Schizosaccharomyces pombe: one gene and its partner. The protein of the gene in region 1 interacts with the protein of each later gene in a biochemical or structural test. Each region holds a gene or a part of one and is shown on either strand. Other genes may lie near its edges.

Region 1 (3,759 bases):
AACCGATGATTTTAAAAACCAAGTGGTTACAGAATATACGAATGATACAAAATTGTTGAATTTACTAAACAATGAAGACAAACGAGTGGAAGAGAATATCCAACTCAAAGATGGCTTACTAATTAACAGTAAAGACCAAATCTTATTACCTAATGATACTCAGCTGACTAGGACAATTATTAAAAAGTATCATGAAGAAGGTAAATTGATTCATCCAGGCATTGAACTTCTTACAAACATTATATTACGTAGATTTACGTGGAAAGGAATAAGAAAACAAATACAAGAATATGTACAGAACTGCCATACATGTCAAATAAACAAATCTAGGAATCATAAACCTTATGGACCTTTACAACCAATTCCCCCATCAGAAAGACCTTGGGAATCTTTATCAATGGATTTTATTACAGCTTTACCAGAATCATCTGGTTATAATGCACTTTTCGTGGTAGTTGACCGATTTTCAAAAATGGCAATCTTAGTACCTTGTACGAAATCCATTACAGCAGAGCAAACAGCTCGAATGTTTGATCAACGAGTTATTGCTTATTTCGGCAATCCAAAAGAAATCATTGCAGATAATGATCATATTTTTACTTCCCAAACGTGGAAAGATTTCGCACATAAATATAATTTCGTTATGAAATTTTCGTTACCATACAGACCACAAACTGATGGACAAACTGAGCGTACAAACCAAACTGTGGAGAAATTACTAAGATGTGTATGTAGCACACATCCAAATACATGGGTAGATCATATATCCCTAGTGCAACAATCTTACAACAATGCGATACATTCAGCAACTCAAATGACACCTTTTGAGATAGTACATCGCTATTCACCAGCTTTATCACCTTTAGAGTTACCTAGCTTTAGTGACAAAACTGACGAAAACTCTCAGGAAACGATCCAAGTATTTCAAACAGTTAAAGAACACTTGAATACAAACAACATAAAGATGAAAAAGTATTTCGATATGAAAATACAAGAAATTGAAGAATTTCAACCTGGAGACCTAGTTATGGTCAAAAGAACGAAAACAGGTTTTCTTCATAAATCCAATAAATTAGCACCTAGTTTTGCAGGACCGTTCTATGTGTTACAGAAGTCGGGTCCAAACAACTATGAATTGGATCTTCCAGATTCAATCAAGCACATGTTTTCATCTACTTTTCATGTTTCTCACCTAGAAAAGTATCGACATAATTCAGAACTCAATTACGCTACCATTGATGAGTCTGATATTGGAACAATTCTTCATATCCTAGAACATAAAAACAGAGAACAAGTACTCTACTTAAATGTCAAGTACATTTCGAATCTAAATCCGAGTACTATTATGTCAGGATGGACTACATTAGCTACAGCGCTACAAGCGGACAAAGCAATTGTCAATGATTATATTAAAAACAATAATCTAAATATCTGAGAACATATGACTTATCCTCAGATTTACATAGAAAATCTTGGGGAGGGCAATGTCAGCAATACTACACTACGCTATAATACACTACGTTGAGTATCACTATATGTCACATGTTCTAATTATATATCGTACCATGTATGATACGATATGGAGATTGATCTTAATGATAATCTATTAAGATCAATATTATCTGAATACTATAAATAGAGCTACTGCTGAACCTCGTTCCTCAGTTCAGTTATGAGCTATATTAGTGATAGGTAACATTATAACCCAGTTAATACAATACCTATACTCAGTTGCTACTTATACAACCTGTGTATCGTAATATAATAGATCACAAGGAAAACTCACCGCAGTTCTACGTATCCTTAAATCAGATACCAAACTGCGTAGCTTACATTTTAAAATCAATAAGAAGCATACCACATTTTTTGTTAAATGGTATAAGGATACCCTCTGTCATGCTAATTGGTGACGGCAAATTCTAAAGTTAACAATAAATCCACCCCTTCAACTTCTCATTTTATACTATATTCTAAATATTAATTATTTACAGTTTAACATGTCGTATTAAGGATAATTATTGATTTTATTTTTATTTTTTTTAGTTCAAATTCTCAATGAGCTTGTACAAGTCATTGGACGTTGCAATTGATTATGCAATTTCTCAGTTGGGAGAGTTCCAGTTCCAACCAATTCGTACGCAATCGAACCCTTCTTCTCTTCTTTCTGCGTGCTTGGTGCGTGCCGTCCATGTAGAAACAAGGCGAAAAGTAATTTTTAAGTTTTCCCAACAAACTTTCAAGCTAGAGAATGAATACTTTTTGTTGCGTCAGTTGTCATCTCATCCAAATGGAAGAAATTATGCTATTGCTCCCGCATATATATTACTGTTGAACGAAACCTTAGGTGCGCTTATTTACGATGATCCTGGGCCTAACATTCTGGATGAGTGGTTAGGGAATCCTAACCCTTTGGATCTAAAATTATTTCTCAAGTTTGCCCTTGGCGTTTCTTACGTCTTATGTTTTTTACATGAAAAAAAAATCGTGCATGGCGAAATTCGTCTTGACACTTTCCATTATGATTTGAATGCCCCTATTCATGCAAAGTTGCTTACCATCGGGAGTAGCGTATCCCCTATCAGATTTACCTTGTCTTCCTTAAACTGGAAGCGTCTTTATCAAGTCCAGAATATATGTCACAAACTTCAGTTTTTTAGTCCTGAACAAATTGGAAATGTGGGGCGACCGTTAGATTCCAGGTCCGATATCTATTCTTTGGGTATTCTTTTTTATGTTATCTTGACCAAGCAATATCCCTGGGGTGGGCAATCTATGAGAATTGTTCAATCGATTCATATGAGACAGTTTCCTTCTGTATTGCCTCGTCGTCCTGATGCCTTTCCAGCGCTTGATCAATTGATTCAAAAAATGACTGCCAAGTCTATGAACTCAAGAATTTCTTCTGCTACCGATTTGTGTTATACGATTGTTGAGTTAATGCAAGAATTTTCTACAATCACCTCTTCTCCTTTGCTGGACCAAAAATTGTTATCTATAAATAAACCACAGCAAGAAAAGCTTAAGTTTCCTAAATTACTATTGACCAATTCTTCAGATTACGTCCGGATCTTCCACGAGCTTGTAGCTTTTTCTTCAAAACGCGATCTTCTAACGAGTGCTAAGCGTGTTGATAAACTTCCAAAGCAACACCTTTTCAAATATCGTCCAGTAGATAATGAGGCTACATATTGCCAAGTTGTTACAGTTACCGGTGAGAAGGGCTCTGGAAAAAGTAATTTGCTTAATGCTGTCGCCGATGAAGCAAGAAAATTTGGATATTTTGCAATGAGCTCTTTTAAAGGTCATCATTTTTCTCCATATTCTGCCATTTTTAAATGTGTCTCTTTAATTATGCAACAGACTCTTCGTGAAGAAAAACAGCTAGTTACTGATTACTTTACATCGCTGTGGGAATTTCTTGGATTTCAATTGATTTACATGGGAGAACTATTTGAATATGTTCCAGAATTAAACTCGCTACTATCTCCGAAATATAATCTACATTGCAAAAGAGAAAACTATTTCAAGTTAAAAAAGAGAGATCCCCAACAATTCCGCAGTGCAAGCGGTCGTTTAGGATTTATGGTTTGTCTTCTAGAAATACTAAGCTTCACTTCCAGAGTTCGACCTGTCATTATAATATTGGATGAATTACATTTGGCTGATCATCCTTCGCTCTCTTTGATAATTGGCATGATTTCTCATAGACTTCCTATCTTACTAATTTTGGCTTGGGATGAACCTGTGATGTTTAAAGAT
Region 2 (3,759 bases), on another chromosome or scaffold:
TTGCTTCATTTTATCCATCAAAGACTATTTACGTATCTGACCCTACTTGGGGAAATCACAAGAATGTATTTTCTCGAGCTGGCTTGACCGTTAAGTCCTACAAGTATTATGATCCTGCTACTCGTGGGTTGGACATTAAAGGCATGTTGTCCGATTTAACTTCAGCTCCTGATGGCTCTATTATATTATTGCATGCTTGTGCTCACAATCCAACTGGTGTAGATCCTACGAAAGCTCAGTGGGATGATATCCTCAAAACAATGCAAAAGAAAAACCATTTTGCTCTTTTAGACATGGCTTACCAAGGATTTGCCAGTGGTGATTTTGCTCGTGATGCTTATGCCACTCGTCTGTTCGCCTCCAGCAATGTCCCCATGTTACTCTGCCAATCCTTTGCTAAAAACATGGGTCTATATGGTGAACGTGCTGGCTGCTTTAGCATTTTAGCCAACGATGCTGAGGAAGCCGCTCGTATCGAAAGCCAAACTAAGATTCTCATTCGTGCTTTGTATTCCAACCCTCCCGTCAATGGGGCCAGAATTGCCAACCATATATTGAGCAACCCTGCACTTCGTGAACAGTGGGCTGGTGAAGTTGTAGGCATGTCCGAACGTCTTAAGAGTATGCGTAAGGCTCTTCGCAACATCCTTGAAAAGGACCTTAAGAATAAACACAGCTGGAAGCATATCACTGACCAAATTGGTATGTTTTGTTATACTGGTTTAAATCCCCAGCAAGTTGATGTTTTGGCTAAACAGTATCACATTTACCTCACTAAGAATGGTCGTATTAGCATCTCCGGTCTCAACACTTCCAATGTAAGATACTTTGCCGAAGCTATCAATGCCGTTACTTCGAATTAGTCGGTGGTGAAATTGAAGTGAAAAGATTTTGGTTTATTATATAGACAGATGGATTTTTGATTGATTCTTTGTTCTGAATCTTTTTTGTTCTTCTTTCTGTTTTTATTTTATTATACATACATATAGACAGACTCAAACACACATATACATATACATATATTTGTATACATTTAATTTTTTTTCCCTTTTCATTTCTCCGAAACCATGAGAAGACGTATTTAGTAACCTAATTGTCTCGGCTTATTTTTTTTTCCTTATACTTTCGCTTTGAGGTGAATAACTACAGTTTTGCTTCCAAATAGATGGCATGGTCTGTTTTTAAATGAATGGATTTTGGATCTAAAAATTGACTAAATATTGATTCGTTTTCGAAATAGTATGCTTTTCGTTTGTCTATCTTCATTTATTTCCATACTTTGTTTCTGTAGATGTTTGTCTAGTAGTTCACTTACTTCATACTTTAGATTGCCTCTAGTTAACCCAAAATTTGGCACATTTTACTATCCTCTCTCATATACATATTAAATCCCACTTTTTCGTTGGAAAACTATCAATTATCTTTCCCATTGCATTTGTCATATGTTGGGATTTCCCAAGTTCATCAAACTTCTGAGATGTACGAAATAAGTGAGGTAGGAATGAAATTTGTGCAAAGCTTTTAATTATTTCTAAAAATAGGAGAATATCGCTGGAAATTGGCACCTTTCCAATGACTAGGATAGGCCCTATGTAGTGATATCGAAATAAATATCTGCAAAAAGAGTATCATTCTTCCCTCCCAATGTGCAATGCTACAGCCATCAGGAATTGCTGCGCTTATTAGGAAATGGCCGAAAATGCCAAAGATGGTGGGAAACTGTTCTTCCATCTCCAGTTCGTCTTTTTTTTCTACACTGACTGATATGGAGGAATCATTGAAATTCGGGGTATAGTGAGACGTAGCGTCATTATATTAATATACTTTATCGTTTTGGGTGGTTGTGTATCGGTACATTTGACTGCTTTATTACGTTGCATGGCGTCACTCCCAAGTGTGAGTTTTGCAAACAATTCTTTCGCGGCATTTACCTACTTTCCGTCTCCCATTTACTACATTAGAATATCTAAAAATCAGACATAAGCACAGGCAAAACCATAGTCTCTACTCTCTGCCTTACCCTTGTTGCATTTGAACTTAATTATAGAGAGAGCACTTAACAATCTTGTGAGGATTGGTTTTCTGTCTTTTGAATTGATACGAAAACAATAATATCGCCTTTTTAGTAGAGCTTGATAATTTTAGAACTTAGCAGAAGCTGAAGGCAAGTTTGTGTGGCGTCTAAAACTTGGCATCAAAGTTTCGAACACGCAAAAAAAGCTCCAAAACCGTATTGACTCTTTTCCATTAGAATCGTTGTTGAAGGAGATTTATCCACAAATCCTATTTAGTATTTGTGGGTTGTGTGGTAAAGCCATTTTCTTCTTTTGGTAATAGCCCTTGTACTGTACTACAGGTTAGTGAAACTGTTGATTATTTCATTTTGCTGGCATACCACACATTATTTTTATAATTTGTTTGTGTTGTCGACGCCTCTTTCAATAACTCACATTTCCTCGCTTTAATTTCAAATCGTTGTTAAAAAAGGAAAGTCTTAAATCTGATACAATATTCTGTATCGATTGCTACATTTTACTGTTTGCAAAGTAATACTGCTGATAAAATTTAGCTGAGCTTCTCCATTCGCTCTTACTTTAAACCCTTTTCTTTTTTTTTTGGATTTTCTTTTAATTATTTTCTAAAAAATGAGTGTATATCGTGATAACATGTATATGAAATACGACCGAAACTTCGAAAATCGTGTCGCCCGAAGAAATGGACAGGCGCGTAACGCTAGTCTTGCTAAGACTCTTCACGATTCTGGCATAGCTGAACGTGCACGCTCTCCTTCAGGGTCAGCGATCCCCCATGCTTATCGGGTTATGAATGGTTCTGGAGCGAATGACACTTCTTTACCACTGACCTCAAATCCTGCTTATGTTGCTCTAACGTCACGTATATCTTCGAGCAAAAGTGAAAACAATCAACAATTGGCTGCTAATGAGACGGCTGGCGCACCTGAAGGCACGGAGGAGACCGTTGACATCTCCAATTCTATTAGCGATGACCATGCGAATGCCAAAAATCTTCCCGCTGCTTCAGTCAAAGCTTTGGTTGGGGCTGGTGTCTTGTCGGATGAACTTTCAGTAATTGCTTACGATATGTCATTTGAGGATGAACTCATCCAAGACAAACAGCTCATTGATCATTCCGTTTTTGACCAGTTGCTTGAGATGGATGATGATGATGAGCATGAATTTAGTAAGAGTATTGTTTGGAATTATTTTGAGCAGGCAGAGACTACCATTGCCGACCTCCAAAAGGCCCTAGAGGCTAAGGATTTGAAGAAGCTTTCCTCGTTGGGGCATTTCCTTAAAGGATCTTCAGCTGTATTGGGCCTTACAAAAATGAGAAAGGTTTGTGAACGTATCCAAAATTACGGATCTCTACGCAGTCGTGATGGTGTAATGAAATTACCGAGCGAGGAAATTGCATTGGATTTGATTAGCAAATCTCTGTCGGTTGTGAACGACTTTTATAAGGATGCTCGAGCTTACTTACTTGACTTTTATGAAAAAAATTCTTCTACATAAAAGTCTCAACATGTCAAAGTACCTAGCCTTTCTTTCCCCCTTTTTATGACATTTATACCAGTTGTCTATCAAAGTCTTCTAGTTTTCCCAAATTTACGATAACTTGAAGTTAGTGATGAATTTCCAGCTTTTACGGTTTGAATAGTTATATTTATTATGACGCCCACACTTTTCCCGTACTTTGAAGTGCTTCCCTCTATCAAAGCAAATAGAGTGAAGTAATACA

The links. Proteins that work in one complex are often made in the same cells at the same time.
Region 2: of the proteins of mak2 (region 1) and mpr1, one has a biochemical effect on the other in vitro, tested with the Schizosaccharomyces pombe proteins (one study listed by BioGRID).

Annotation. Positions count from the first base shown.
Region 1 is NC_003424.3:4,025,059-4,028,817, forward strand, and holds the start of mak2 (phosphorelay sensor kinase Mak2), read left to right. Parts: upstream 1-1,960; 5' UTR 1,961-2,055; coding exon 2,056-3,759. Other genes in the region: Tf2-6 (retrotransposable element/transposon Tf2-type), read left to right, coding at 1-1,435. UniProt on the Schizosaccharomyces pombe protein: Involved in the control of the SAPK-dependent transcriptional response to peroxide stress. Regulates sty1 activity.
Region 2 is NC_003423.3:1,201,112-1,204,870, forward strand, and holds the start of mpr1 (histidine-containing response regulator phosphotransferase Mpr1), read left to right. Parts: upstream 1-1,940; 5' UTR 1,941-2,645; coding exon 2,646-3,533; 3' UTR 3,534-3,759. Other genes in the region: aspartate aminotransferase Maa1, read left to right, coding at 1-863. UniProt on the Schizosaccharomyces pombe protein: Binds to the msc4 response regulator which is part of a multistep phosphorelay system that transmits oxidative stress signals to the spc1 MAPK cascade.